Linked DNA regions of Astyanax mexicanus. The protein of the gene in region 1 interacts with the protein of each later gene in a pairwise test. Links are inferred from orthologs where the notes say so. Each region holds a gene or a part of one and is shown in the gene's direction. Other genes may lie near its edges.

Region 1 (16,486 bases):
GTTGATATACTGTATGAAAACAACTGCCACCTGTATAATAGTAATATTTGAGGGGTAAAAACAGACTTTTCTGCTATGTTGTGAGACTACAGTTATAGATTGCAAAAACTAATACAGTGAACATATAGTAAATAAAGAATATACTCAATACATTTTGAAACAACAATGTGCTGGCTAGCGCTGCTAAACTGGGCTGGCTAGCGCTGCTAAACGGGGCTGGCTAGCGCTGCTAAACGGGGCTGGCTAGCTCTGCTAAACGGGGCTGGCTAACGCTGCTAAACGGGGCTGGCTAGCGCTGCTAAACGGGGCTGGCTAGCGCTAATAAAAGGGGCTGGCTAGCGCTGCTAAACGGGGCTGGCTAGCGCTGCTAAACGGGGCTGGCTAGCGCTGCTAAACGGGGCTGGCTAGCGCTGCTAAACGGGGCTGGCTAGCGCTGCTAAACGGGGCTGGCTAACGCTGCTAAACGGGGCTGGCTAGCGCTGCTAAACGGGGCTGGCTAGCGCTGCTAAACGGGGCTGGCTAGCGCTGCTAAACGGGGCTGGCTAGCGCTCATAAAAGGGGCTGGCTAGCGCTGCTAAACGGGGCTGGCTAGCTCTGCTAAACGGGGCTGGCTAACGCTGCTAAACGGGGCTGGCTAGCGCTGCTAAACGGGGCTGGCTAGCGCTAATAAAAGGGGCTGGCTAGCGCTGCTAAACGGGGCTGGCTAGCGCTGCTAAACGGGGCTGGCTAGCGCTGCTAAACGGGGCTGGCTAGCGCTGCTAAACGGGGCTGGCTAGTGCTGCTAAACGGGGCTGGCTAACGCTGCTAAACGGGGCTGGCTAGCGCTGCTAAACGGGGCTGGCTAGCGCTGCTAAACGGGGCTGGCTAGCGCTGCTAAACGGGGCTGGCTAGCGCTGCTAAACGGGGCTGGCTAGCGCTGCAAAACGGGGCTGGCTAGCGCTGCTAAACTGGGCTGGCTAGCGCGGCTAAACGGGGCTGGCTAGCGCTGCTAAACGGGGCTGGCTAGCGCTGCTAAACGGGGCTGGCTAGCGCTAATAAAAGGGGCTGGCTAGCGCTAATAAAAGGGGCTGGCTAGCGCTGCTAAACTGGTCTGGCTAGCGCTGCTAAACGGGGCTGGCTAGCGCTGCTAAACGGGGCTGGCTAGCGCTGCTAAACGGGGCTGGCTAGCGCTGCTAAACGGGGCTGGCTAGCGCTGCTAAACGGGGCTGGCTAGCGCTGCTAAACGGGGCTGGCTAACGCTGCTAAACGGGGCTGGCTAGCGCTGCTAAACGGGGCTGGCTAGCGCTGCTAAACGGGGCTGGCTAGCGCTGCTAAACGGGGCTGGCTAGCGCTCATAAAAGGGGCTGGCTAGCGCTGCTAAACGGGGCTGGCTAGCTCTGCTAAACGGGGCTGGCTAACGCTGCTAAACGGGGCTGGCTAGCGCTGCTAAACGGGGCTGGCTAGCGCTAATAAAAGGGGCTGGCTAGCGCTGCTAAACGGGGCTGGCTAGCGCTGCTAAACGGGGCTGGCTAGCGCTGCTAAACGGGGCTGGCTAGCGCTGCTAAACGGGGCTGGCTAGTGCTGCTAAACGGGGCTGGCTAACGCTGCTAAACGGGGCTGGCTAGCGCTGCTAAACGGGGCTGGCTAGCGCTGCTAAACGGGGCTGGCTAGCGCTGCTAAACGGGGCTGGCTAGCGCTGCTAAACGGGGCTGGCTAGCGCTGCAAAACGGGGCTGGCTAGCGCTGCTAAACTGGGCTGGCTAGCGCGGCTAAACGGGGCTGGCTAGCGCTGCTAAACGGGGCTGGCTAGCGCTGCTAAACGGGGCTGGCTAGCGCTAATAAAAGGGGCTGGCTAGCGCTAATAAAAGGGGCTGGCTAGCGCTGCTAAACTGGTCTGGCTAGCGCTGCTAAACGGGGCTGGCTAGCGCTGCTAAACGGGGCTGGCTAGCGCTAATAAAAGGGGCTGGCTAGCGCTGCTAAACTGGTCTGGCTAGCGCTGCTAAACGGGGCTGGCTAGCGCTGCTAAACGGGGCTGGCTGACGCTGCTAAACGGGGCTGGCTGACGCTGCTAAATGGGGCTGGCTAGCGCTGCTAAACGGGGCTGGCTGACGCTGCTAAACGGGGCTGGCTAGCGCTGCTAAACGGGGCTGGCTAGCGCTGCTAAATGGGGCTGGCTAGCGCTGCTAAACGGGGCTGGCTGACGCTGCTAAACGGGGCTGGCTAGCGCTAATAAAAGGGGCTGGCTAGCGCTGCTAAACTGGTCTGGCTAGCGCTGCTAAACGGGGCTGGCTAGCGCTGCTAAACGGGGCTGGCGAGTGCAACTAAACAGGGCTGGCTAGCGCTGTAATGATTTACAGTTTTGTTTACTTAGGCGCTTCCCCCAGCTTCCCCATTTGAAGGGAAACATGGCGAAACACTTGCTCACTTCAATGTAGACTTCCTTACTAGTGTTGCATAATGTGCTTTATAATTCAATGCGTCTTATAGTCTGACAGTAAATTACAATTCTTATTATACGGTAATAAGCTGTAGTCTTTCTCTACAATACATTTTTGCAATTTTACAACGCTTTTTTTGACCTTTACTTACTGTACTGTAGAGCAAAAATGTGACTAAGGGGTTCCTGTTTCACATACTGTATTTACAAATGCATGCTCTCTCACGCACACATACACACACACCTACACATTACTGTAAAACAACCAGTTGCATTTCTCCTTTTTATGATATTGCTCTTGTTCTATAGACAATCAAAGTCAAAATTTCAAGTTAAGCATAAAGTTTGCATGTCATATATATATAAATAAATATATATATGTATATATATATATATATATATATATATATATATATATATATACACACATACATACATACATACATACCGTCACTGTGGTTTCTGACACCTGAGTACACTGTCTCTAGCTACACCCAGGCCTGATTATTGCCACGCCTGTTCTCAATGAAGACATCACTTAAATAAGACCTGCCTGACAAAGAGAAGTCCACCAAAAGATCCTTAAAAGCTACACATCATGCCGAGATCCAAAGAAATTCAGGAACAATTGAGAAAGAAGTTAATTGAGATCTATCAGTTTGGAAAGGGTTATAAAGCCATTTGGGAGCAGCTTCTGTTGCATGCTTCTGTTTAAGGTGTAGAGATAAATGTGTCGCGCTGCTTCGTTTAGAAGCAATCGGTTTAAACACACCTGTTTGGTCCTCGCTGCGTTACTTTCCACCCATCAACCCCTCCAATCAGAACCACATCCACTAGATCAGTTGAAAAAAAGTAATTTCAATAATTTTGGTTAGGAACCTCTGACAGTACACAGCAGGATTAGCCAGCAGACTTTGTCTGCATCTCTGTGGCAAGTCAGCGGATGAGAGAGATGTAGATACTTATAAAATATTGGGTTTTGTTCTTCTGTCACAGTTAAACTTAAACCAGCTTTTTCAAGTTTTGCCATTTAGCATAAGCTAACACTTTGGTGTGTTAATTGCTCAGTGTATACATGGGGCTTGGCCAGAAACAGCTTAATTGCATAAAAATCCTTAATCAGCTCATTCTGAAAGGGACTAAAATTGGTAAGACTAGAGCTATTGGACTAGAGCTATTGAGATCTCTAATGTAAAAGTGATTTTATTCAAAGAACTTCAGGAACATATTTTGTATAGCCCTAAGTTGTATAGACCTATTCTAATGTGTAAAAATAGACATGTTCCCTTAAAACAGGCCCCATTCAGAGCTTGATCTGGAGCTTGCAACAGACAATAGAATGTATTTAAGCTTTTCTAATTCAGTAAACAGTTTATTAAACTAAACTTTTTTCAACTAGAAATTACAATGTGGGTTAGCATGGATTATTTCTTAATCAGTTCTTAATTACATTTGTGCATAATTGAAGTCGCTTCTAAAATGATACTATATTATTGTCTTAAAAGTTTGTAATAATAACGTAATAGGTGTTGCACTGTAATAATAACAAAAATTGCAGATTTTAATTCCAAAAAATCTTTAGATCTTATCTGTAGGCCTAGATAGTCCTGAGGGTCCCCCGCTGATATTTATAGCATAGTGTGTGCAGTAACCTTGCTATCTTTACAATAGGCTGTCAAATCTCTCCAACACTGTCAATGAGATGAGACAGAAAATCTGTGTGGTACACACACCCCACCCACAGGGAAAAGCTCCACGCTACTCTACACTATTTCACAAACCAAGCAACAGGTGTAGTCAGACAGTCACTCACTCTTTTCCAGAAACCGTAGTACAGATACAGGGGCTAAAGAAATTGTTTGCGCATTTGCACATCTGTGTCAGTAACCTAAAGTAACATTCACTACATACAAGTGGTGTCCACAAACATTCAGACATATAGCTTAAGTTTTTAGTCAATATCAGTTCAGTTCTACTGAAGAGTGTATTTAACACTAATCTGCTTAATCACACCTGCCCCAGCTAATGGATGTCTTGCTTGGCAGGATCAGGTGCTTCAGGCTTGGCTGAGAAAGGCCTTTTCCAGCACAGGTTGGCGATTTCCCCGCTGCAGCACACCTGACTCACCTCCGCAGTAATAAACCAGAGCAGAAGTGCACAAACCAGGTTTAGTGAGGTAAAGGAAAACTCTGCTGACTTGAATAGGTTTGGTGTAAAATACTTTGTTCTAGAAAATCTTACCCAGTCAGAATATTTGACAGCTTTGGGGATGGCAAGCTGTACAATGAGAACTTTTAGTAAGAAGACCATTACCTAATCTTGTAGTTGGGCAGCGTGTGCTTCTTCTTGATGACCCTTTTGAGCTGGTTGACGATGATGGAGGTGAGCTGGGGCAGAGGGCGGCCCTCAAACTGGGACTTTACCTCGAAGTCGATGAGCGGGTCCTCCAGGAAGGAAAAGGACCAGTGTGTGAAGGGCACTCGGGTGAACTGCAGCCTGAGGCGCCCCGCCACCCGGGTCATCTTCACGAACAGGTAAGCAGATTTGCCAAATACCAGGTCCACATCAATGGCTAGGTGGAATCCCCCATTGTACTCTAGGTCCACCTCAAAGCTCAGCTCCTCTGGAACGCCCTCGTCATTGACAGCCACAGGTTTCACCAGCCGGGTGGTCTTGAAGATAGGCACGGAGTTGCCCAGGGAGATCTCACGGAGGCTGAGACCCTCTAGGAGGCGCCCTGCTGTTTTGGTCTGCAGGAGTTCCTCAAACTCCACCCGGATCTTCTTGGTGACCCAGTGGCGCACAACTGGAGTGTCCCGGAGCTCCCGAAACAGGAATAAAAAAATGGCATTGAGGAAGCCACAGGTCTCCAGTGCTGGGTCAGTGCGGGGGGATGATGATGGGGAATGGGGCTGGGATGATTGGGACTGGGTTTGGGAATGCTGAGATTGGTTCTGGGGTTGGGATAAAGTCTGGGCTGGTGGCGGTTTTGAGGCGTTTCCTTCATGCTGCCGGGAAGACACCGTGGGTACTTGCTGGTTCTGGCCCGGATCACTCGTCTGCTGGTGCGGCTGGTGCTGGAAGTAGTCTCTCAGTGCTGGATCCGCCACGGCTCGGCCGTACTGCTCGGTTCTCCGGACGGGCTCCGGGCTCCTCCGGTAAAGCAGCGCCAGCTGCAGCAGTATAGTGACCACGGCACCGGACAGCGCGGAGATCAGTATCAGATAGATCATCTTCAACCGGCTGTCAGTCTCGGAGGCCTCCGCGATTTAACGAAAACAAAACAACACCAAGAAAAGCGAGGTTCCACCTGGTCGCTCACAAAGCTGCCATATCATCCGCCTCGTTCCTGGGTTGCGGAGGCGCGCCCTGATTGGACCGACGCGCCCCTCGTCACTCTGCGTGATGACGACCGCAAGGAGCAAAGAGCGAGTTCCGGTGGGTTTTATTTAACACCCGTATACCGGAGAGTCCCGCCCTTCCCGCTCTGGGATTGGCGAGACTCGTCTTGTCTCCTGCGCTGTGATTGGCTAGTAGCTCAGGCTTGCAGAACGGCAGAGTATTTACGTAAGGGAATACTCTAATCTTATTTTATCTAGTCATAAGGATTACTAAGCAAACATTTATTCACAGTTTTATCACAATTGAATTACAATACATATATCTGCCTATACAGCTTACAGGAGCTCTTTTCACTCTGAGAATCCAGTCAGCCAGCTATTGAGGCTATTTACATTACAGTCTCAAAGACAGAAACAAAATCAAACCGTCTCTTAAAAGAGAAATCCGATATGAAATGGAATTTTGGTGTAGTAAAACATGACATTAAGTACTAACCTTTGTTGAATAGCCCAGCATTCTGAACTACAGAGCTTTTTAGCCGATAATTCCAACAGGCTTACAATACTAGCAATAGCAACGAATGAACAATTTTTACCCTTTTAACAAGCTCAAAGTATCTCCAGACTTTATTTGTTGAATTCTAAGAGCCCTGACATTTAAATGAGGCACTAAGAACTTTGAAAGTGCACAGTGTATAAAAAGTTTTTATTATACTACCTGTGAACCTTCAAATTTCTCAGTGCCTCATTTTCAAAGTCAGGGCCCTTAGAATTTTACAGATGAAGTGTCGAGATACTTTGAGCTTATTAACAGTGTAAAATAGTGATGGAGATAACCAGGGAGATGAATCACACAATAAAGAATTGTATTGGCTCAAGGCTGTTATCTTTATTAAGCACAGATAAAATATCATAAAGCTTTGACTCTTTGACTCAGATAAGTCAAACAGTTTTCAGTCTTCCCCATTAAAAATGGAATCAAAAGATGTCAAGCAACAAAGAGTGTTACACAATAGTTCCACCTAGTGATGAAAACAGGGGTATAATATTGTCTCCTATTGTCCTGTAGTGATGTATGTTAAAATAAGGCTAACACTGCCATCACTGCTTAAACTACTACTGCTAATAATTATAATAATACTAATAATACTACTACTACTACTACTACTAATAATAATAATAATAATACAATGAAACGAAGATATTATTAATATCTCGCAAGATATTATTAATGTTATTATTATTCCTAAATTTCCTTCGGGATAAATAAAGTATCTTTCTTTCTTTCCATCCATCCATCCATCCATCCATCCATTAGCACCTTTTTATAATAGAGACATAGTTGGTTTCCCAGACAGAGTAGAGGCCTAGTTGTGGACTACATATCTCTTTTAATGTGGACACTCCTTTCACACTGTTGCATAGTCTAGTACTATGCTTTATCCCTGTCCGTTAAACCAATCCATACACATGGACATATAGATAGTCAGAAAATTAGATCACAGTAGTATTCACAGAGGATAGCTCACTTATTACAACAGCAAACAGACAGCAGTGGAAGCAGCAACACCAGATTAAAAATAAAAATAAAGTACTAATTTACAGATAATAATAAAAAAAAACTAATTTGCTAAAAAAAAATAGTTAACTGTTATAGGTATCATAGTAGTAATAGTAGTAGCAGCAGTAGTAGTAAAATAGCATCTTTACAATGCATAATAATATTACATGCATCGATATCAATAACTAGCTAAATACAAAATAGAACATATTTTTAAAACATATGAAGAACAAGTTAAAAATAAAGAAATATAATAGTAGTAATAATAATAATAATAATAATAATAATAATAAAAATAGAAATAATGTATTTTTAAACTAATGCATTCTAAATAATAATTAAAAAATATATAAAATATATATTTACAGTAATAAAATGTCTTAAATGTCTTACATATATAAGCTTAAGCCTTCATTTATGCGGTTACCTTCAAGGGGGGTAAAATCAAGTTTTTATAGGAACAAGTACACGAATATTTACGGCGTTAGCGGAATAGAAATATGAGTTTATGCAGCCGTAATTACGGTAAAGTCCAGACGCATATGAAAGCAGTAGCGCAGCAGTGGGTGGATGTCGGTTGGTTACCTCTGAATAATGTCTCAGCCGCCTCCAAAACCCTGGGAGAGACGAATTCCCGGGGCGATGCCATCCCCAGTAAACTACCGGTCAGTAACACGGTTCTCTCCAAATCCTGCTTTTCTTTCAGAAAACAGAAAAAAAAAACAGGCGTATGTGTGAACTGGCCCTGTAGCAAGGTGACAGGCCCTGTGTTGTTGTGTGTTAGCTTGATTGCTACACTAAGCTAAGCTAAACTAACCGCGTTCTTACGCAACTGAAAGTTCAAAGCACGTCATATTTTAATCCCGATAATAAACGTCTGATATTATTTAATACACATCTAGTCCATCGACAGACCCTAACTGCGTGTCAGAGTGTCCAGACTCATGTTTTAACTATAACGTGTCTTGACTGGTTTGGTGACCTACAGCTGTCGGTGGAATAAACTTTATGACTAGTATTTAAGCTAACTTAACTAACCTAAGTTTTTGTTATATTTGAATCTCATTAACTGCTATCGCAATAGCAAAATGTCCGTCCGACATAGCATACATAACAAATATAAATCACATCTTATAGGTAGCGTCTTATTCGCCAATGTCTTATTCGGATTTTCCGGTCCACCTTAAAAAGTCGAAATACCAATGATTCGCCAGTAGAGAGCAGGATTGAGCCAAGCAAAACGAGTTTGGTATTTAGGGCATATACATTGAGAATACATTGCCTGTTCTGGGTATTTCTAGTTGCCCTAAATCCAGATTATCAAATAGTCTGTTGAATTTGAAAATAGAACTAGTATACTGTGAATAGTCTAAAGACCTACGGATATTACTGTTCCTTTTTTATTATGACCCTCTTAACTTAGCATTTGAGAAGATCAAAGGAGAAAAAATGGCCTGTTCTGCATGATTCCTGTTGCCCTAACTCCATATTTTCAAATAGTCTGTTGAATTTGACACCAAAGTATGAAAATAGAACTAGTATACTGTGAATATTCAATAGAAATACAAAAATTACTGTACCATTTTGTTATTATGACCCTCTGAACTTGGCATTTAAGATGATTAAAGGAGAATAAATAGCCTGTTCTGCATATTTCCAGTTGCCCTAACTCCAGATTATCAAATAGTCTGTTGAATTTGACATCAAATTCTGAAAATAGAACTAGTATACTGTGAAAAGCCCGAAGTACTAGAAATATTATTCTACCATTTTATTATAACTCTCTGAACTTAGCACTTACAATACAATATTGAAGTAGAATAAATGGCATGTTCTACATATTTCTAGTTGCTCTTACTCCACATTATCAGTCTGTTATTATGCATGCTTATTTCTCACCTCTATATAACAATATTTCATGCAAGTGTGTGCCATATTTAAATCCTTTCCTATTACAAAACTGGTAGTATTGTTTTTCTTTTACCATCTGAATATAGGAAATTTGTTATAATTGTACTGTTATTGAATCAAGGAATGATGCATCAAGTTTTGATAACTGAAGATTTTAGTATAAATTGCAATATATATCATTGTAATATTTATTTCTGACAACAACAAGTGGGACACAATCGTGGAGTGGAATGAAATTTACTGGATATTTAAAAAAAAAATTGACATAAATAACTGAAAAGTGGGGCAATATTATTCGGCCCCTTTACTTTCAGTGCAGCAAACTCCAAGACCAAGAAACAAACCAGACAGGTCCGAGATACTGTTGTGGACAGGTTTAAAGCAGGATTTAAATACAAAAAGAGTTCCCAAGCTTTAAACATATCAAGGAACACTGTGCAACTGATCATATTGAAATGGAAGGAGTATCAGACCACAGCAAATCCACCAAGACCCGGCCATCCCTCTAAACTTTCAGCTCAAACAAGGAGAAGACTGATCAGAGATGCAGCCAAGAGGCCCATGATCACTCTGGATGAACTGCAGAGATCTACAGCTGAGGTGGGAGACTCTGTCTGTAGGACAACAATCAGTTGTATACTGCATAAATCTGGCCTTTATGGAAGAGTAGCAAGAAGAAAGTAATTTCTCTAAGATATCCATAAAAAGTCTCATTTTAAAGTATGCCACAAGCCACCTCGGAGACACCAAACATGTGGAAGAAGGTGCTCAGTCAGATGAAACCAAAATTGAACCTTTTGGCCAAAATGCAACTTTAGCAGGGACATAGAAGATGGTTAAAATTGATGGGAAGATGGATGAAGCCAAATACAGGAGCATTCTGGAAGAAAACCTGTTGGAGTCTGCAAAAGACCTGAGACTCGGACAGAGATTTGTCTTCCAACAAGACAATGATCCAAAACATAAAACAAATTCTACAATGAAATGCTTCACACATAAATGTGTCCAGGTGTTAGAATGGTCAAGTAAAAGTCCAAACCTGAATTCAATCTAGAACCTGTGGAAAGAGCTAAAAAAAAATGCTGTTCAAAAACAAACGCTCTCTATCCAACCTCACTGAGCTCCAGCAAAAATTTCAGTCTCTCGATGCGCAAAACCCCAAGCGACTTGCAGCTGTAATCAAAGCAAAAGGTGGTGATCAAAGTATTAATGCAAGAGGGTAGAAAAATATAGCACGCCCCACTTTTCAGTTTTTTCAGTTTTAGATCTTTGTTTGAAGCCTGAAATTTGGCAAAAGGTTGAAAAGTACATGGGGGCTGAATACTTTCGCAAGGCACTGTAACTGTGAAACAATCTACACATGCACAAATTTATCTGCAAAGCATGTACAATAGAAAAAAGAATTGACAAAAAAAACACACAATGCATGCTACATGCTTTGCAGATAAATTTGTACATTTGTAGATTTTATTTATATATATATATATATATATATAAATTCACCTATATAAAGTCACAAAGTACCCAATTTTGCTTCTCTGTGAGGTTTTGCAATCTGCAGTGTGGTAACTGATAATGAGGAGTTCCTGGAGAAAATAATTATTAATGCTCCCTGTTACTTTTTCCCAAATAATGCACATTTAACCCAACCTGCTTTTTCCTCTCTGATCCAGCTGGCAGGGAAATTAATGTTATTTCTTTGTGCATACTCAAAATTGTTGGTCTAAAATTAAGAATGTCACATAGATTTAGTGATAAAATGTAAGATTACAATGTACTGTACTGGCACAAATTACCCCAACCCCACTATTTTGGGGAAAAAATCCATCATCCAATAGTTTTGGGCAAACATGCTAGCTGTATAGACTCATAGTGTAGCTTACCAAAGCACTAAAACTTGTGAAATGTTTTCAAACTTGTCTGTAACTGTTGAGACACAACAATCAAAATGGTTGACTTTTCAAAAATGTGTGGTCACATCACCAATTTCTTCTGTGGTTCTCTAGAAACAGGGGGTGGCACAACTTCCCTACTGGCACAAATCAGCCCATTTAACCCTATATATAGGGCTGCAGCTATCGATTATTTTAGTAATCGAGTACTCTACTGAAAAATCGATTCGATTAATCGAGTAATCGGATGAAACATATTTGTTTGCTTAAAGAGTAATTAAAAATACACAAAAAAACAAGCCATTTCACTTAATAATGAATAACCAATTGATTTGCTTTTTTAGATAAGTTATATTTTAAATTCACAACACACATTTCCAAACTGCAAACACAAATAGAAATAAATAAATAAATAATAATGTAATAATTAGTGCTTTAATACATTAAGTGAAATTATTTTCAACAAGGATTTCTTGTAAGTATCAAAACTATAGTGAATTAATCAATAAAAAAGACATAAAAATTTGCATTATGTTGTGCATCTTAGCTTCTGAACAGCAGAGATGTTGCAGTTCCTCTCACCAGGACGGTGACATGTATTTGTTTATAAACTCCACAGCGCTGTGTTCACTTACATAAAGCCTGTATTAAGTCCAGAATTGTCTGTTTTAATAAAACTAATAACACATCAGACAGTATTACTAATAGTCAGCGCTCCACAGCACTGTCATTATGTTATTAAGGTACATTAATATTAATCGCATTGATTTGTTAATAAGTTATATTAACCTTCTCTCGGCTCCACCGCTAACGTGTCCTCGGCTGAGACGCAGCATTAAACCGTGCTGTTGTGGGAGGCAAGAGCGAATGTACGCTGTTCATTCTAAAAAGCTCCATTATTATTACACTTTTTCCTCGTAAGATGTCGCTCTTTTCCCTCGGCGCTTCAAAATACCCTCCTCTCAACCAAAAACCTTTGTGCGGGTGACGTAACGCTGAGCGCGTTGTCACATTAAAAGCATGAATTACCGCGCGCTGAGTTTTTTTATTTAAATAAATAAATACTCGAGATATATATATATTGTTTTTGTGTTTTTTTCTGTCATTTTTTTTTTTCAAATAAATTACACTTTTTTTCTACTGTGCATGCTTTGCAGAGTACTTTGTGCATGGTAGTATTACAATACTACCCGTTTTGTAATAGGTAAGGATTCAAATATGGCACACACTGACTGATAATGTGCACTCTAAGAAATATAAGTACTTAAAAGGGTACAAAGCTTGTCGCTGGGGCTGTACCTTACATTGAGGTACAAAAAATTCCTTTAAAGATTATAAACCAGTAAAGATTATAAAGATTATAAACATTATCATCAACTAAATATGGCTCAAAAACTTGATGATCCAAATTTGTCTGGCTTTCAAATAAAGAAATGTGCAAAGTGTAATTACAGTGCACGGCAGTGGACAAATAGTTAATTAATTCCGTCACCTCACGTTTAATTTTATTAAACGTGAGGTGACGGAACTCAGAGATGTGCGCCCGGATGGGACTAAAATAATCATATATTTTTCAGATTTACAAAAATTTTGATATCAGACAAAGATAACTTGAGAAGTTTTGTTTATATAATAATTGTATTTGTTAATATAAAAAATCTATTTAAAACAACCTGGCCTGTGTATTTGCCCCCTAAAACTAATAACTTGACTGTGTCACTCATGACGGCAACACCTGCAATCAAGTGTTTGCAGCAACTGGTAATGAGTCTTTCACTTGTTTGCGGAGGAATTTTTGCTCACTCTTCTTTGAGAACTGTAATAATTCAGCCACATTGGAGGGTTTTCGAGCATTAACAGCCTGTTTAAGACCATGCCATAGCTTCGCAATCGCACTTTGGCTTGTCCACTCCAAAACCTTAATTTTTTTTTTTTGTGCCATTCAGACTTGCTGGTGTGCTTCGGATCATTGTCCTGCTGCAGAGCCCAAGTTCAAAAACTGTTGGACGGATATTCACTTTCAGAATTTTAGAATTCATGGTTACACCAAGAGCAAGTTGTCCAGGTCCTAAATTAAGCAGCAAAGCATCTCCAGACCATTTGTGAATATTTGCTCTCACTGTGGTCCTCTGGACTCTCAAAGCCTTAGACATAACTTTGGAACCTTTTCCAGACTGATAGAGAATCAATGACTTGTTTTCTTTTCTGTCCCTTAAATTTCTTCAGATTGGGGTATAATGGGCTGCTTTTTGAGATATTTTAGCTGCTTCATGTTTTCATAAAGATTCTATGTAGGTGGTTTTTTGATTCTACAGGTTTAGGCGTAATCATGAAACTGCTTTTTGTATTTACACAGATTATCATTGTCTGATATTAAAGGTCATTTGACAATCTGAAAAATGTAAAAAAAATAAAATAAATAAAATAATCATAATAAAAAATGAAAATGTGCAAAAGAAGTCTGTATGGAGGCTAATACTTTTTCAATGCATTTGACACCAAAGCTTACTATTAATGAGTAGGAAATTACATCTTAGCTATGTATAATACCAACGTTTTACAATTTTGCTATATTTATATTCTGAGAATCATATATCCTTTCACAACTTTCAGGAGTAGTGACTTTATTGGTGCAGGAGTGAATGGACCTCCAGCATCAGGTCCGCCAGTTTTAACACGTATGGCTCCACCAGTCCCACCTCGGCCTGTCCAGCAGACCTACCGTCCGGCCTACAACTCCTTCCCCTCTTCTTATAGTCCGTATGGCTATGGCGGAGGCTACAGCCCCTACAGTTATGGAGGGTATGGCCTCGGGGGCGGTTTGGGCTACAGCCGTTTCCGTATGGAGGACGTTCCACCCAGTCGCTTCGTCCAGCAGGCGGAGGAAAGCAGCCGAGGTGCTTTCCAGTCCATCGAAAGCATCGTGCACACCTTCTCTTCAGTCAGCATGATGCTGGATGCTACCTTCTCGGCTGTCTACAACAGCTTCCGCGCCGTGCTGGACGTGGCCAACCACTTCTCCCGCCTGCGTGTCCACTTCACCAAAGTGCTCTCGGCCTTCGCCCTGGTGCGCACACTGCGCTACCTCTATCGTCGCATGCAGAGGATTCTGGGATTGCGGCCTGACCTGGAGGCAGAGGACCTGTGGGCGGACAACCTCGTGCTGGCTGCTGGGACCAGAGGACCAGGGCTGGACGATTCCAAAGCAAACACTGTGAAGTCATGGCCCATTTTCCTGTTCTTAGCTGTGGTTTTCGGAGGCCCGTACCTGATCTGGAAGCTGCTACGCTCTGAGGAGGGCACAGAGGATAGCGGTATAGTATAGAGCATAATTATTGCTCATAATAACGATTAGTAATATTTGTAGATGTTTTAATTGTTTGACTGACTGTTTCTGTGTCCAGGCACTAACTGGGCAAACGGTGAAGATGACCATGTGGTGGCTCGAGCAGAGTATGATTTCACTGCTGCTTCTGAGGAGGAGATCTCCATCCAGACTGGAGATATGCTCAATTTGGCTCCTAAGGGTAAACATAATTAAGCATTTACCTTTACCTTTATTCTCTTTAAATAGTCAAGATGATAGGAGTAAGTTATTTTAAAATATTTAAGATTGTTTCTGATCGTTTGTATGATTGTTTAAATATTTCCAATGGTATTATTGTGTTTAATTATTTTTTCAATGATATCTGTGATATATGTTAATATTCTACTTGATAATTTATTTTATTTTATTTTAATAAATATAATCTTAACTAATAGATTTATTTGAAATTTGTCAAAATAATAAAGACAGTATTGTATTCATATTTAAATAGTGAGTTGCTTGAAATCTTGATTTGGACCGTTCAGTGTTTTTTGAGGGTGTGTGATTTCGAGCGCTATTAGTCTTTTAGCTCCATGGTCGATCCAGATTTACACCTCTAAGCAAACACTGGGAATCTGAATTGACTGTAAATGAACAGAAGCACTTTACTCACCAAAATAAACAAATTTCAGTAGTAGGGTTGGGTATCGTCACGGATTTCCCAGATCGATTCGATTCTGATTCCCAAGGTCCCGATTCGATTCGAAATCAATTTTTTTAGGTAAGTTTCAGTTACAATAAAAACTGTAGTTTAAATATGAAAAGTATACAAGGAGAACTCAAACTTTCACTATTCAAATATTAGTGTTTATATTATATAGACTTAACACAACAGTTACATTCTTCTTTTAATATTGTTTAATGTAGCTTACTTAATTGCTACACTGTTGTTCACATCTTTATACAGGTTTGGAATGACCACTTTACTCAAATATTTACATGTAGGTAAAATATGATTCAGAACATTAATGAGGCTTTGGAAGCCATCGTTTTCAACAACGCTGTATGATTGTACGCACTCCCTTTTTTTAATTACATAAAATCACAACATAACATTGCTTTAAAAACTTCATAATTATTTGCAAATAGAAGTTTGAAATTTACCCAGACCCATGAGTTCAGATGTGATATTATAATTAGCACAATATAATAAAAACACAACAAGCAAATTGAATATTGTAATAAGAGAAAACGTAATTAAATTTAAAGGAAAAAGCAGCTGGTCTGACTGAAGTTCAGCTCTCCCGTTATAAGAGTCTCTTCCTCAGCCAGTAATCATGTTCATTCCTGGGGACAAAACTGGCAGGGGGCGGGGATAGTGAATCGCACGGGCGGGGGGCTAGTAAACCAGGCTAAAAAGGGATTAGTTTAACCGGTGATTTGGCTAACCCGCTAAGCTAACGGTGGATACAGCCGGTCAGATCTTAAAACAGTGTTAAATGTACTAGTTTGATAAACACAGGCAGCTCTGAGTGGAAATTCCGAAGAATTTTTTTTACATTTTTACAGAAACTCCTCTGCTCCAGCTCACTGGTGTTGTGTCGTTCGCGAACGATTCGTTTGAATGAATGAATCATTTGAGTGAACTCACCCCAGCCAGAGGACGGTGCTCGCGAGAATGGTCTTGTGAGATAAACGGGGAAAATGGGCTATTTCTAAAGATTGATTCTTAAAAACAGATCGATTCTTCAGATATTTAAAAACACTGACTCAAACCTGCCTGTAAATCAGCTTATCATTACTACTACTGCTTCCTAGAAAATCGATATCTTCACCCTCCAGACCTGCTCTCCATTCAAAGATCGATTCAGGTTTATATGAATCGATATCGGATCATTGAAATGAAGATTGATTTAAATGAAAGGATTGATTTTTTAAATCCACAAAAGTACGACAAAAATGCAAAAAAAATAAATAAACGGTAGGAGGCCAAATAATTTTTGTGTAGTGTAGAGATACAGTGGTGTAAAAAAGTATTTGGCCTCCTACCGATTTTATG
Region 2 (17,539 bases), on another chromosome or scaffold:
GGACAGAAGGCTGGAGTCATCGGAGCTGAAGTCCAGATCGGAGTCCACCTGCAATTGAAACATATGTTAAATTAATTCCAACCATCATCGAAAACATACACCAAAAATATCACAGTATACAAGTTTTTATAGTATGGGTTTCATATAAATGTAACAATATATAATAGACAACTGTCACTGTGTGTACCTATGGCAATATTGGCTTTACTATGGCTGATTCCATTGTAAATCAGTGTAAAGAGAATTTATGTCAAAGCAATGAACTATTAAGACTATTTATTATTAAATAAAAAGTGCTAATTATGTGCTATCATGCTTTATAAAACATCACAAACTGAATCTGTTTTAGTTTGATGGATCGAAATTAGTCCATATCAGTAAATCTGACATTTTTATATATATATATATATATATATATATATATATATATATATATATATATATATATATATATATATATATAAATATATTACTGGGTCTGATAAAGGTTTAATAGATACTTACAGAAAGAGGCGGAGTGTGAGGAGGTGAAGCCTCTGGAGCACCAGACTCCGCCTGCAGAACAGATACTCACTTTAATTCGAGCTGATCCATCTCCAGCTTTATTTCTGAATTTTATTCAGTTTTATTTAGTTCAGTTTATGAATATGGGTTTGGTCTAAAATGCGAAAAATGTCTACTGACCTCACGTGGAAGGAGGGTAGAAATCCTCAGCCACCAGGCCATTTCCGACCGCGGGGCGTTGGTCCCTCACCTGATCCGGTAACCTGAAGATAAAAACAACAACAAAAAACACAACAACAACAACAACAACAAAGAAAATACAACAATTACAGAATAATTAAATCAGAATAAAGATAATTAAACAGTCTAAAGTGTAAATCAGGTGGTGGGTATGCAGTTGTAAAAGTGTCTCTCGGAAGTGAAAAGCTGCTGCTGCTGCTGCTGCTGCTCAGAAGCTCTAAAGCTCAGAAACAGTTTAAATAAAAACAAATAAATCGAACCTTATATACGCCGCGCTTTGAAAAAAAAGCACATATATATTTTATATATATTATTTTTTATTTTATTTATTGTTATTAGTCGCTATTACCTTGTTTGTAAAACTCAATCAAATAATGAGAATGAGATCAGGTTCAAATAACACGAAAAATACAGAATTAACATAAAAATAAAAATAATAATAATTTTGAGTCGGCGCATGCGCAGTGTCGATAAGAAGCACTCGTCGATGGGTAGCAGAACTCGACAAAACATCCGGCTCTACTTAAAAAGCTACAACAGGTGTTCTGTCAAATTAAGCTACCCATCGATACGTGCTTCTTAAAGGCAGTGCGCATGCGCGCTGACCTGCAATTTTTAAGTATTTCTCGTTTTTTTTTTATCTGTTTTTTTTGTGCATTAAACAACAGTTCGACTCACTGTCATTGCACAGAAGTGTAAATGGAAATGAATAACAATAAATACAATAATTATTATTTAAAAATGATAATATCATGATATCTGGCTGTATTTTGTACCATTATACAGTGATTTATGCTTTCCCAATATATTATATATACGTCTACTACGAACATGCTCGAATATTGTTCTCTTTTTTTGTAGTTTTACAGTTAATATACATTAGGGAAGCACGGTTTGACAAGGAAGCACGACTCGACAGAACACCGGTCATTTTACTGCAGTGAGTACCTGTGGAGCTAACGCCAGTTAATTTAGCAATGCGGTTATTCAGAATTATACGACGCCTCCATTTCTGTTTATTAAAACAAGAAGAAGTGCTGCACGGTGGAAAGTTGCAGTGTTGGAGTCACGGGTGAGGAGTACTTTACTGTTATACTTTGAATATCCTTGTAGTTTAAGCCAATTTAATATTTACTGGAGTTCACATTGTTAGCATTTAAACACTGTACCACAACCAGGTCCAATATACAAATATTATCTAGCTATGATATGAGGTTACCTAAAAAATAACTTTACATCAAATTAGTTTTTTTTTCTTTCTGGTCAAGTCAAGTTTTTTAAGCACCAGTGTCTGTGCCTACTCAAACTCAATACATGTACTCAATACTACTACTAATTAGTAATTCTAATATATATATATATATATATATATATATATATATATATATATATATATATATATATATATAAGCTATATTTAAAGTGGACATAATTTGTGTGTTGTTAACATTATTTGTGTGGAAAAAAACTGCTTATTCTGTAAAAATATAAAATAGTGTGTAATGTTGTGTCCTGTTACACCGACAGGTTTCCTGTAATGAATCTAACGGGGATTCTTGCCCCATTTCTTAGAGACAGAGACCATGGGACAGAACTATACAACAGCAGACAAATATTAGAAATGTATTATCAATTTAGGTCTTTATATTTATGATTAGCACAAACGATACATGAATAATCTGTAAATATTATATATTTATTATGTTTATATATTTATTAGGTGCTGTGCTGTGTATCACGTGTAGTATCTTTGACATTTTGAAAAGGAAAAAGACTAGCATTTTGGTTAATAACTAAAAGGACACAAAGTAGCTGTAAATATCTTTTTTCAGTAATTGCATTTGTGAAGTTTAGAGGAGAAGGAATATAGAATAAAATATAGGAAATAGAATCGAAATGTCCTGCTTATTTTAATTCTTTTTCATATTTTTATTTTTGGTTCCAGTCATGCGATTGGAAATCAAGAAAGATCAGGTAAATATCTAACGTTACTTGTATGTACATTTCTTTCTGTGTGACTGTCTGACTCTTATCTATCTATCTATCTATCTATCTATCTATCTATCTATCTATCTATCTATCTATCTATCTATCTATCTATATGTCTGTCAGTCTATTTTAATCTATCTATCTATCTATCTATATATATATCTATATATATCTATATATATGTGTGTGTGTATGTGTGTGTATGTGTGTGTGTGTGTGTGTGTGTGTGTGTGTGTGTCTGTGTGTGTCTGTCTGTCTTTCTAACTAACTTTTTGTATGTCTGTTTCTGTCTGTCTTTGATTGTTTAGAAATGTAGGTTATAATTTATCAGTGGACCTGTGGAAGCCCCATGTGATTGGTGACTAGGCCTCAGTCACTCAGCAGCTCTGGCTCGATTACTCAGCCTGTCCCAGACTCGGTGAGTCGAAGCAGAAACTCAGTCGCTTCAGCTGTAACTTGTTAGCTGGGTTAGCTAGCAGGAGCTGCAGGCTGGAGAGGATGGCGCCCTCGGATCAGTCCGAGCAGCACAGTAAGGTAAAGAGCTAAAACGGGCTGGCGGCGGTGAGGCCGGGCCGCTGTGCGGTGCTGGGTCTGTGTGTGTTAGTGTATCTGTGGTTAGTTAGTTGGTGGAGGAAAAGTTTTAGCCCAGCTGCTGCTGCTGTTGCTGCTAGCGGGCTGTTTCTGACAGCTGCAGGCCACAGGCAGCTCCAGCCCTCCCGCAGACCGTTTATAAACCAGCCAGGGCTTTATTAACACTTTAACTATATCGTGTTTATTTAGTTATAGAGTTTATATGTGTGTAGATAAAGCCAGCAGCAATCTTCAGCTCTGGAACTACAAGGCTAGCAGGCTAACTAGCTAACGGATATGTGTGCAGAGCCGAGCCCGGGTCAGTGTCCACAGAGAGAGCAGCGTGTTAATGTTTACACTCAGCCTGAGCACTGCACTGACACACCACACATACCGCACAGCCTTAAACACTACAGAGAGAAAGAGCTCTGTGTTTAATCTCTTACATCTACATACTCGTGTGTACACCAATATTCTGTTTTGGTTGGCTGTCTGTTTCTGTCTTGCCTGTTTTTGTTTGTTGTATACATCTGTATCTGTTTATCTTTCTCTCTCTTTTATATCTGTATTTGTCTGTATTTATCTGTCTATATACAGGTCCAGAATCAGTTTCTCTGATTTTGCTATTTATAGGTATTTGTTTGAGTAAAATGAACATTGTCGTTTCATTCTATGAACTACGGACAACGTTTCTCCCAAATTCCAAATAAAAATATTATCACTTAGAGCATTTTTTGTAATTTATTAAAATAACAAAAAAAGATGCAAAGCTTTCAGACCTCGAATAATGCAAAGAAAACAACTTTATTCATAAAGTTTTAAGAGTTCAGAAATCAATATTTGGTTAATCACAGTTTTTTATGCATCTTGGTACGTTCACCTCCACCAGTGTTACACACTGCTTTTGGATAACTTTATGCCTTTACTCCTGGTGCAAAAATTCAAGCAGTTCAGCTTGGTTTGATGGCTTGTAATCATCCATCTTCCTCTTGATTATATTCCAGAGGTTTTCAATTGAGTAAAATCAAAGAAATTCATCATTTTTAATCTACCTATCTATCTATCTACCTATCTATTTTTACATGACTGTTCTGTTTTGGTTGGCTCTGTTTCTGTTTTTCTATGTTTGTTTATTGTATACATCTGTATATTGTCTATTTATCACTTTCTGTCTTATCTGTATATCTATCTGTCAGTACTTGTCTATTTTTGTTTGTCTGTGTTCCTCTCTTGTATATTGTTTTTTTGTGTTTGTCTGTCTTTATATCCCATTGTCTGTCTATCAAACATCTGTTAAAATGTCTGATATTAATGTGTAAAAACATGCACAGTTTTTTTAGTTCCTGTATTATCAAAAGAATAGGACTTTTAAAGTAGGATTGAATTAGGATGCATTAGGGTGTTGGGGATGATGCGGTGTGGTAATCTACTCAACATCTTGTCTTCATAACACTCTTGGCCTAAAGGAAATCAAATTCTCACAGCAATGCTCAACAATCTGGTTGAAACCTTTCACGGACAGTAAAGATAGTCATCTATTTCTGTCCATACATGTCTCTCTCTCGCTCTCTCTCTCTCTCTCTCTCTCTCTCTCTCTATATATATATATATATATATATATATATATATATATATATATATATATATATATATATATATATATATATATATATAGCTATTTATCTGTCTATGTGAGTCTTTCTAGCTATTCTTCTGTAAATTTCTATTTAAATATATAGCTATCTATCTGTTTGTCTTTCTGTCCGACTAGCTATCTATGTATATACATTGCCTGGCCAAAAATCACCACCTGAATTCAGACTTGTCTTGAGATATTCTTTTGATGCTTAATAATCACATATGTTAATGCCACTGAAATGTCTTATCCAGAAGTACTAAATAGAAGCTAAACAATATTTTAAATGTTTTATAAAAGATGGTGATAATACACAATACAAAAATATGTAACTTTTATAATACATGCAACCTTTATGCATGTGCTAAGCATTAAACATTATGATTTTAATTAAATATTTAACTGGGAAAAAAAACCCACATTTGTGTTTCCGCAGCAAAAGAAGAATATTAGCGATTTAATTATTATACAGGCTATTTATTAATATTTTTTTAAATCCTTTAGTTCTCAGTACAGAATCTCAGCCTGAGTGATCAGTGTTTCTCTCTGATCATGTTTGAAGGGTTTGTCTTTGGACGCTGTTATCAGTGTTAGGAAACTCTGTGAGAGGCTCAGTGTGATAAGTGTGTGTTTGCTTAATGCAGGGTTTCTCAATCCTGGTCATGGAACCCCCTGTCCTGCACATTTAGTCCGTTCCCTGCTTCCAGCACACCTGATCCAACTAAAAATATGTAAGGGTAGGGGTCTAAGAACTAGGAGTGGGAATCGCCGGGCATCTCACAATATGTAGATAAAATACTCATCCTAAACAAGCAAATACCAGGAATTATGGGTTTATTGGTGAATTTGACAACTAGTATTCACTGAAGGTTTACCTAATTCATTTTAGGAGCGAGATCATGTGGAGTAATGAAGCAGTAACTTTAGTACGTCAAATTGGAGGACATGCCTTGGGTGGTTTAGAGCACCTGTGTTTCAATAAAATATATATGCTGCACAGTAGAACAGTGCGTCACCACTGAAATTCTGCTAAATCTCCCTAAAGGACTTTAGCTGTCAAACGGTCATTTTTATTTGATGTGATTCACTTCAGTTCACTTCAGCCTTTTTATGTAACCTAATTCTGACTCATTGTTGGCATAGACATCTGATAGCGCTTTCATTAAGTGTTTCCTGAATTCTGATATTTGTGCTGAATATATGACCTCTGCACTGTAGATTCTGTTATTGCTGTTATTGCTGGTTTGTACTGGAGTTGAGCCCCTGTTTGCTCTTGAGCTCAATATCAGCTTCCAGGCTCTGCTGGTGTTTTGTTACAGTGCCGAATGATTGTCAGCTTCCCGACTGAAATCCAACAAGTGAGTGAAAGTGTAGAAGCTCTGTTGTCCTTTTCACCTTGTTCTGATGGAGGAATCAGGCTGTGATATCAGGATTGGCCTTCTGAGAAAAAAGAATATGCATTCAGGATATGCATTTTAATTTTCTCTTATTCCTACATCCAGTTTAACGGGACCAAGTATCTTCAGTGTTATGTAAAAAAAAAAAAAAAAAAAACTTTATCTGTCATTTTGACAATTGAGTCTGACATTGTGTCACAGTCGGTGGTCTAACAGATATAAGGAACTCACAGTTTAAACCAGATCATGATTTTTAATCACAATTTATTTTTTCAGATCCGCAAAATAGAAAACGGGGCAAATGTGAGGAAGTGATTTTAGCTTTACATTTGAAAGTATTTTTGCAATAAGGCTTAATTTGTTTTAATGACTTATTAAAATGTAATCGTATTAATGGAATCAACATTCTACGATTAATCGCACCCTTTTATCTGTATAAGACTGAATGTAATGACAAGGTGTCGTAAAACAACAAAGTAGCTGTGTGTGTGAGTGTAGGAGAAAAGAAAGGAGTAGTTAGTTATGAGATTTAATCCAGATTTTAGCATAAATAAATACAAAATCTACTCTTTAAACTCAGTAGTGATTCTGTGTTTACATCACTAAATAAAACCACTGATACATCACCAGGCTCTGTAAGAGGATTCATTTGCATGAAAAAAAAATGTTTTAAGGTTTCTAGATCAATCATATTTGTAAACTTTGGCAGGACTTATTTTGACCTAGTGTTTGTTTGGTATTTAAAGCTTTCACTGTGATTTATTTATTTATTTTTTGACACTTGAAGGTTTCTTCTGTTTAAACCCCTGTCCACGAGACTCCAGCACCTCACACTATTATAACTTTGCTTCTACTTACACTTCACAGTCTGTATGTGATTAAGGTAAAAACTGTAAAATGTAAACAGCAGCAGTAAAACTGGATTCCTCATTTTTATTGAAAAAAAATAAAATTGAGAATTTTGCATCACATTGACATGCTTATTGTAATGAAGCATGCAGTTGCAGTACACTGATCATGTGTAAGCTAAAATTACCCCATACTGCTCACCTTTACCCTTAATAATCATGCAACCTATCCAACAATACCTTGGCCCCTGTCCATATTCTGATATTGTCTGTCAGGGATCCAGAATGTAATAGGAATGAACTATAATAATGGGTTCAGTCTGAATTCAGTATAAAACTAGAGGACAGTAAAGTACAGACCTGTGTTATGGGCACAGAGACGGAGTAAAATGACGAGAGGGCATTAAAGAGAGTGTAATCCGTTCACCTGAGATTTACTATCTGAGATGTTATTTAGATGTCTGCTGTACTTTTCTTTTGGCAGTGGCTGGAATTTTATTACCTGATTAAGCCCTTTGGACAGGCATGGATCACTGACAATGGAAACAATGACTGAATTTTGCTCCATTTTTATTGTTGAGCTAATAACATTAGCGTGCTAAGTCTCTACTTCCTGTGTTCAGTTTTGAACAGGCCGCTGTTGTTCCACAGTCGTCACCCACCTTTTAGTCTCATCTTTTATAATGGTGGGAAGAATTGACTGAGCTTAAATCTAATTTAAAACTATTAGTAAAGACACTAATAGGGAGGACTCTGTTTACACAATAACTAGACGTTAGAAAATGTGTGTTTTTGCACATTACATTTTGTGACTGGTGTCAGTAATTATGGTGTCTGTAAAAGGTTTTTAGATTTCTAAGCTTTTCTGAGCTTTTCTTAGCTTGCTGGGTCAGTGTTCATCTGTTTAATTTACTGTTTTTGAGGCTAAACCTAAAAATTGGTGTAAAACTTAATCATTTTTTTCCCACATTTGGTTTAGTAAAAAAGGTTTTTCTTTTTTCTTTTCACCAAAAATATTTATTCTTTTTTCTTCCCGGTTTAATGGTATTGCACAACCTACTCTTACAAGATGCAAAAATTTACAAAAATTGTAAAAAAAAAAAAAAAAAAACATTTCTTATTTACAACACCAAATTTGGAAAAAATAAAAAACAAATTTTAACACACAATTTTCTATTTTCATTAACTAATAAATGATACACTGAGCTATCGTTATACTGTAAGCAAGACCATATATATAAATAAATATATAATAAAATTATAGGACAAATGTATTGGTATTAACACTCCAAATGCACAATATCTGAGTAAAAGGAAAGTTTACTGTTTATCCAATCAGAACAGTCTCTTAACAAATCTTTAGATGCAAAGTGCTTGATAAAGCATTGATAAAACAAAATGTATTTTTTTTGTTGTTGTTATTTCTGCCATTTCTCATTTTCTGCAAAATGCTCTAAATGACAATATTTTTATTTTAAATTTGATTTGGGGGAAATGTCTGTAGTTTGTAGAATGAAACAACACTCTTCATTTTGCTCAAACGTATACCTATAAATAATGTGTGTGTGTGTGTTTTTTTAAATATATTAGATATCAGGGTATTTATTTTATCGGCCAATCCTGAGAACTTATCAGATCATATAGGTGAGTTAAGATTTGCAGCAGAACTGTGCGGCTTACAGTTGGTGAAGCTTGGTCTTAGAAAGCTGCAGTACCTTCGTCCAACCACTAGATGGAACTCTGGTGCTGGAGCACAGCTGCTGCCACTAACAGCTCGTTAGCAGTCAGTGTGGAGATTAGCTGTTTCTGTTTAGCAGTTTCTGCTGTTTTTATTTGTATATACAATGTGTCAAATTATTGTTCCTCATGGAGGAAAGAGAAAAAATACTTTTAACCTCACTAACTGGATAATACTGCTCGGGACAGTGCATCGTTCAGCCCATTCAGTGTGTACCAGAGCTAACAAACACTACTAACCACACAAACAATTAACCACCACATTTTAACCACCAGTACTGCAGCAGCCATCTAAAATAATATTTAAAAAATCACAACTTTTCAGGTGTGCAAAAATAAATTAATAAATTCTGCAGTATTGTAGGTAACGCTAGCTTAGCTTATATGTGTCAGACTCTTAGCTGGGGTTTCCCAGTGTTTGTAATGTAAAGGAGAGGATGTGGGAGAGGATGTGTGGCATATTATATATACAGCTTGGATGATGTCACAGTAGAATATTGTTATTATTAGAATAAATGCTTAAAAACACACACACACACACACACACACACATGCCAATTTTAAAATACAAAAAATAAAAGTATGTGTTGCAATTGTTCAAAAATTTAAAATGTTGTGAACACAAACTCATATTAAAATGTTAGATTTTAGAGTGATTTTAGTGTATTTTTATTTAGAAGAGTTGGCCTTGGTCTTACAAAATGTCATGTGGTGCGACTGTGATTAATGTTAAAATTAATACATTTCCTTAATACACTTTACTTTTATTTTACAAATTCCCACTAATATTAAGTGTCTATAAATAAAGCATTTGCATTAATTTTTAGTTTTTTGTAAATAATGATCTTAATTTTGTTTTTTAGTGTCACAATCACTGGCTTTAATGTAGTTGATAGGGTATTTTTTTCCTGTAAATCCTATAAAACCGTTAAAATCTTTTCTAAAATACCATTATCTTCAGCATACAGTATCAATAGTTAATATAAAAGCAGAAAGATGAGCTCTGGATAAAGATATTTCTTTTAAACACATTTTAATATCGGACAACCAAAAAGAATACTTTAAATTATGATTTAATTTGTTAAGAAAAAAAATCCAAACCAACCTGACTCTGTGTGAACAAAAGAAATCTGTAAGTGGGCATTTACTTTTTCACAGCACTGTATGCTGTTTTTTTTTAAATGTTTGTTTATTTAAGGCAGCTGTTTGTTTTAGATGGCTGTAATTAGGTAAAATTACTAAGTTTGCCTGGAATGGTTGATTGGACCCTGCCGATCGGTGATTGGCCCATAAAATGCTGATCAATCCGTCTCTTAAAAATATCCTACATAAATAAAACATTAATAAAATGCACCTGCTGTTGTTTTTAAACCAAGTCAGCATATCAGCTTTATTGATATTTATGGGTTCTGCTTGTGTATAGAAACAGAATTGGCAACATTTGAGGTCAGCATTATTGAGGTTATGCTCATTTGTTGTACTTTAACTTAATAATGTAATTATTGTGACGTGCCTCGTAAATAGAGTTCAGTGTAGAAATAAATATAGCATTACTCCCCACTTAATCTGTTCTGTTTTGTATTGTAATAAAAGGGTCAATTAATGAGTAATTAATAAGTAATTTTCCCGCTTTGTAGTTAGAAATGTAAAGAATGATCATGTATAATGAACAGATTGTTTGCTAACAGTTAACAATATTTCTAATAGGAAATGAAGTCAGAATTCAGTTTAGTTAATAAGTCCAGCTAAACTCACTGTATTATGTAAGAAACACCTCTAGGTGGAGCTGTAACACAAGCCTTCTCTTCTCTTTTCTCTGCAGAGTGGATCTCCAGTCCGAGACGATGCTCCACCACGAGAAGCACTGGTAAGACGATACTCGTGCTCTGAATATCACCTCTATCCTTCCTCACTAAACTCCTCTAAAAACACAGAGTCTAAACATGTGCTCTCAACATGCTTACTCAGATTATGATAGACCATCTTGTGCGCTTACACACTGTTGTTTACACCTGGTCACTTCTTAATGTTTTAAACACATGCATTTTTACACTTTTTGACCCAATGTGCCTCCAGTTAGTCAGCCCAAAATCTGATTTCTGTGCAGGATGGAAGATGTACATTCATAAAAATTGTGCGTTAGTTATTACTGGTGTTACAGTTGTACTGGGAGAAGTTTTGGTTGTTGATTGTGTCTTGTAGACTCAGATACATTTACACTGTTTTAATATGTGGCTCAAATGTGTGTCAGAACACCGCCTGAAATGGGTTTGAATGATGGGATTTGTATTTGTTTTAAATACAATTCAGTTTTTTATATATACACCTTTTTTGCGAGGTTTGCATTTATCCTGATATCATCCTGATAAATAATATATATCAGTGATTTCTCTAATGATGATCTGATAACATTAAGATTCACTTGTTTGCATCAGAATGTAGGACTAAACACCCCATGTCTATTTATGGCCTCTTCCAAACATGGTTTGAGTTATCCGATAAAAAAATGGTCAAAAAATGGATTTCGTACACATTTTAATGCAAGTGTGAACAGAATGGCCTTTTTAATATTAAATTCTGTCAGTCAGGCGTTTGTATGTTTGTTATCTGCCACATTTTAAAGGGCTTTGAGACCTTTTTGTCTAAAACTCCACTATTACTAAACTTTTCACTTTCTCTGAGCACGACAATGGTCAAGATCAACAAATTTTATAGTTGGGAAAACAGAAGTTATGGATGTTTTGTTTGATTTTATGCAGGAAAGTATGCATAAAGGATGCATTTTAGTGACAAGTGTAAACAGAATCAAGGTAATCAAAATAGATCCAGAAACGGATACAAAACGTGTTCTAATACCTGGTAGAAGCAGTTTTGGTCACAGTAAAGGAATTAAGTTTAAATCTGCTAATAAGTAATGTTTGAAAGCTAGTTTTGAATAGGGTCCACTCATCCCTAGCTGTGTTATTAATCATTAATGCAAAAGGCTGTAACTTATTATCCTATAACTCCAAATAATGTTAATATTATTGTATTAGCTGTTTGCCATATAAAAGGTGTCCAGAAAGCTCTCTTGTTATGTGTTTTAACAACATGTACTTTAACATCTCACCTCAGAGACAGCATCAGGGTAATATTTTGCATAAATCTATTTGGGTTGAGCATAATGTTTTGCATAAATTTAGAGCTAGACATAATAGAGACGATGATGAGGTTATTTATTTGTCTTTTTGATGAGCAGACGTAATCAGCCATATTCTAATTATTTCAGCCGTTTTTTTTTTGTCCCAGAAGTTATTATCCTGTAGTTAAGAGTGTTTACTGGTTTATATGTCATTTAAAACCCAGAATCGAACCCATCCCCTTTGTGTTCCCTCTCTCACCGACACACACACTGCCTGCAGCTTGTTTAGTAACATCCGAATGATTAGTTTCTGAATTGTTCCTTTTTGTTTAATGTGATTTCACGGCATATATGATCTCAAACCGAGCTCAAGGCGCTCACCTCAAAAGCGGAAAAAATGTGGATTATTAAGGCTCCTCGGCCTCCTAACCGGTCGACAAGTCGCCTTTTTTCCCCCTCCTTTTCTCTTTTTGATGAGCTGCTCTTTCCCAGTTAAGTGGATTATTACAGTGCTGGATAATTCATGTCACAAGGCATTATTTGGATGAGGTGAATAATTGAAATCTGTGTCTGAAAGGATTTGATGTGGATGAGAGGAAGGGGACTGGTGGCAGGGTTGGAGGGAGTCAGAGGCAGGCTCTGGGCGGCTGTGCCGGGGTGTCAGGCTGGGGACAGCACTCATGCTAACAGGTTCTGACTCACCTCGCCGGGATGGGCGGTCCTCACTCCTCGGTGGCAGGCGGCCCCGGCCGTCTGAGCCATAGCAGGTTTGGACCTGCGCTCCGCTTCGCGCTGTCAATCAAACCCAGCACCAGTCCCATTCAAGCCTGAATGAAGCTCGCCTCCGGGGGCTGGCATCCCCACCCAGCTCACCGGCTCAGCCTCTGTGCTCTATTCCTTACTCTATCTGTCTCTCTCTCTATCTGTCTATCTGTCTCTCTCTCTATCTCTATCTGTCTCTCTCCCCCTCATTCCTCTCCCTCACGCCTCCCGTACATTTCCTCTTTCTTTAATGCTGTGAAAATTTCCACCTCAGGCAAACAGCATAGCACGTTCTACATCTGATGTTTGAGTGTGTGAACGTGGTGTAAAAGTCTCTGAATGATAATTAGAGGTGTAATTAGGAGTGTAAAACGTGAAAACTCAAATGTGTGTATTTTAGTGTGTATTTTTTGCTAGAAGAGTGTTTTATAGAAGATAATAAAAAGATGCTTTACACTCGCAACTGTTTTAGCAACCACAAATGGTTCTTTTGCAGTGTTGCTTATGGAAGTTTTTTTTTTTTTTTTTTTAATATTACTAGAAATATTGATTTTTTTTTTGCAGTATTTTGTCAGTTCTTAGATTCTAAGATGATTCATTCATTAATTCACTGCTTTATTTTATGTAGTGTTTAAGCCCTGGCTGCAAGATAACAGTGTTGTACTCTGTCTGTTGTCTTGATCTCCATTTCAGTTTTCACATATTGAGTAAATTCTTTAAAACTTGAATTGAGCCACTGGGAGTCTAGGTTTATCTTTTGGTTTACATTGTTAATAATAATCTGTTCCTTATTCATTATCACCATCCACATTTACTTACAAATAGAGTTAGTATACACACAGCTTGTCTTGTCTGTGTAGAGAAGTACTGCCAGTAGAATAGGACTCTCTGTAGCAGTTATACATTAACCTATTTACATCATTCCTAATGCCAGCTGTGGGTTAGAGATGGATTAATCCACCAGTATTGAGCTGTAGAGCAGTAGAACTGTGTTCTCTGGAATAATAGTGCTTCATCCAGTCCTTTGGGGATACAGTATAATTAAAAGTCCTCCATGGACAATGGGGACAGTTACATTTACTACAACTACTTTATTTTTTTTCCAGTTACCCTTGATTTTGGTAGAAGCAATAAATTAATAGGTATCCTATGACAGTTTTGTCTATATAGATTAAGATTGTTTATATAAGTGGGCTTTACGTTAAATGTTTTTGCCTTTACTCCACTGTAATGGGGACTGTTAGGGGTGGGTGATGTGGACCTAAAATAATATCTTGATATTTGAGGGTATGTTTATAATAACGGTATTCTCGCTGGTTTGACTAAAATGCTGAATATATATATATATATATATATATATATATATATATATATATATATATATATATATATATATATATATATATATTCTTTCCAGAATATACTACTTCAACAAAAACATTCAACAGAAAACATCAGATTTTTTTTTTTTTTTTTATGAATAACTGATAAAAAACTAACAAGATTTTTTACAGCAAAATAAATGTATCATAAAAGTAACGTCATGTAACATGAGTACTATATCAATATACAATAAATGGCAACAGTCAAAAATTATACCTTTTAAACTTTACAGCAAATCATCATACAAAATAGACTGCTTATTGATTTTAATAATATATATATATATATATATATATATATATATATATATATATTGTTTTATAATTTTTAACAATATCATTGTGTACAATATGATATGGCACACCCCTAATGACCGTACCCTGAGCTGGTAGTGAGGTTATGCTGCAGGGCTGTATGTGAACAGACTCCCAGGCCGACCCTGCCCTGCCCGCTGGGCTCGCTCTGTGTGCCCCAAATATCACCGGCCTCCTGTTGAAAGAGGCAGGGATGCAGAAGCTGAGGGAGGAGGTAAAAAAGGAGGAGAGGGAGGGGAAAAAAAAGAAAAAGTTGTCAGAAGAACATGCCGGTCTCGCTGCGACTTCAAAAGCTCCCCTTCCCCAGGATATTAAGCGACTGTGATGAAAAATTTAGTGAGCGTTAAATAAGGCGCTTTGAAGTGATCTGTTTTGGCTCAGCAGTCTCCGAATTTCCGGAGCCCCTCTGCTATCACCACCATGTTGGGAGAAGGGGAAAAAAAGACCTCACAAAGCCCAGGAATCGGGGGCAGTCTAACAAGATGCCAACATTAACATTACAGCCAGTGGCACTGGCCGGAGGGCGGGGGCGGGTTGGTGGCTTCTCGGCCTTTCTGTCACTGTCTTTTTCACTAATCCCGTTTTAATTTTTTTCCTCCTGGTTTCTCTCTTTTCCCTCCGCTTTGCTGTCACCCCTTGCCCTGCAGTTATGGTAGACATCTGTTGCTCATATGTTAGTTTTGAAAATGAGCTTCTAGTTCTTTGGGGACTTGTGGAACACAGTAGTTCTAGGCAGCAGGCGCTGTTCAGGACCACGCCAGAAGCGGCCTCCCTTTGTTACTGGAAAGGCTGAACTGTTTCTGAGAAAGCAGTTGGAGTTGTTTGGTTTGATTGATTATTTGTTGTTTGATTAGCTTGATGTTGATCCAGGCTCTGCCCACAAAGTATATTGAGAATGGACAAGCTTTAGAAATTGTTATTTAACATGATCTCTGGCTAAATAATGGCAAAACATTGCCAAAAATCCCATTTAACCCTTTTATCTGAACACAGAAATAATTGTGTGGGTTTTTCATTTCACATAGATGTTAGGACACCCCATGAAAACCTTTTGTCTTTTTAGCATTTATAAATAGATTTTTATTGAAACAGTTGTGAAAGATAGAGATTATATAGCTGAACACAAACAGTATGGAAAATAAAATTAAAATAAAAATTGTTTCTTAGATTTACAGTGCTTTTATTTTTATTGCAGATAGTATGAACCCAATGTATTTTATGTTTTGTCTGGCAGAAATTATTTAATTTATTCAAATTCGTTTGCCACATTGTATTGTACGCAATAATATTGACAATATTTTTTTTATATTGTTTTTGCAAAAATACCCAAAATAACGTCACATTATTTTATTCTTGCAACTTTTTAAAAATAATTCTAGAGACTGTTATATATGAGGTTATATCTGTCCAGTATCATTTATTTTATTTTAACCCTGGATCTATGGAGTGTATTATTATTATCATGACTTGTTGAATCTTTGACTCTATTAGAGGTGTGCCATGTCATATCGTATGCAAAAATATCACCAAATAAACTACAATATTTATTTTATTTAAGTGGTGTATTCTTGAAACTTATACATTAATAGTTTTTTTATTAAATGTTTTGTCATATCGGCAAGAATATTGTTATCGAGAAAACACCCTGAACCATTTTGATATTAATTTACAGCTACCGGTATGTTGGCCACCCCTAATATACATTCATTCCTGCTATTCAGGCCTTTCATTTTTTTCTTACAAAAAAGTTGTAGCAATGAAGTCCTTAGTAATGTTGCCATACCTTCTCACTTAAAAAAAAAAAAAAAACACTTGAAAAGGAGGTTTTCCTGTAAACAAAAATACCTTGTCATCACAGTTTCTGTTTCACAGTTGTTTTCACGCATTGTCTATTATGGGACAGGTCAGGACTACAGGACTTCCCTCTTCTTCTACATCTTTGCCTTTATAATGTGTGCAGCATGTGGTTTGGCTGTATCTTGTTGAAAAAAATGCATAGAGCTGCGTGAAAAGTACTTGAAGGCTCCAAGAGCTAAATGTACTAAAATAACCCCATATGCTGATGGTCCCTGGCTTTTGAACGTGTTGCTGATAACAGTCTGAATTATGTTTTTTTTTTATATATATATTTATTTATTTGGTCCAGAGGTTATGGCGTCCTATTCATCTAATAAGAAATATAGGTCAGGAATACTGATGCATCTCACCATAAAATGCATTTATTACTACTGTGCGATGGTTTATCACAGTTTTAGAGAAATTGATGGCTTCTGTTTTGCACAGTACAGTTTTAAATGGTATTTCTGAATGTAATTTTTTGTTGTAAAAGCTATGCAAAAGTAATCCATTGCTCCTGTGGCTATATTAGCAGTTCTTGAATGACTCATCTAGATGCAGCCCATCAAGGGGCATCAGATATTGAGTTTGAAAGCTTAGCTTCATGTATGAAATCTGAACTCTAGCCAAAATTGATCAGATTTATTGGTAAAAGTTCTGTTATCTTCGTTGCTATGAAAAATTTCCAAAACACAATAATGGGAAGAACAGATAAGTCAGTTCTGGGTATCATAATTATAAAGCCCAAAATTTAATTATTCAGAGGTTCAGAGACTGTAACCGGCCATAAATCTAAAGCACTAACACATTGTTCCTTTGGTGAAGCTTTGCAGCAATTAGGAGTGTTTTTTTTGCTTTTTTCTGCTCGTTTTGTTCCTCATTATTTTGCTCTAATTGTGAGTGTAATCCATTACCGGAGCTGTCTGCAGTAAAAAGGCCGTTATGGTTGGCATGGGGACCCAAACCTCTTAGATATTCCCGCATTATTGGGGAAGATGGTCACTAGGAGGCTGTGAGAAGTTCAGCACGGCTGCTTGTACAAGGAATTGAGACACAGTTAAACTGTGCGCGGGTTCAGTTGCCCTAAAGGTAGTCAGTTTTATTAAATTGTAGGGGAGAAAAAATGACTGGAAAGTTAATATTGTCTGTCTTGTAATTATGGCTGGGCAATATGACCGTGTTATTGTTATTATAATAATAAA

What was found.
Region 2: the proteins of pex13 (region 1) and pex14 interact in a two-hybrid assay, tested with the Homo sapiens proteins (2 studies listed by BioGRID and IntAct, with this or other methods). The link is inferred for Astyanax mexicanus from reciprocal best matches to the Homo sapiens genes PEX13 and PEX14.

Annotation. Positions count from the first base shown.
Region 1 is NC_064421.1:35,736,844-35,753,329, reverse strand, and holds the start of pex13 (peroxisome biogenesis factor 13), read left to right. Parts: upstream 1-7,836; 5' UTR 7,837-7,911; coding exon 7,912-7,982; intron 7,983-13,733; coding exon 13,734-14,434; intron 14,435-14,524; coding exon 14,525-14,647; intron 14,648-16,486. UniProt on the Homo sapiens protein: Component of the PEX13-PEX14 docking complex, a translocon channel that specifically mediates the import of peroxisomal cargo proteins bound to PEX5 receptor.
Region 2 is NC_064420.1:41,364,833-41,382,371, reverse strand, and holds the start of pex14 (peroxisomal membrane protein PEX14), read left to right. Parts: upstream 1-8,810; 5' UTR 8,811-9,028; coding exon 9,029-9,130; intron 9,131-10,743; coding exon 10,744-10,788; intron 10,789-17,539. UniProt on the Homo sapiens protein: Component of the PEX13-PEX14 docking complex, a translocon channel that specifically mediates the import of peroxisomal cargo proteins bound to PEX5 receptor.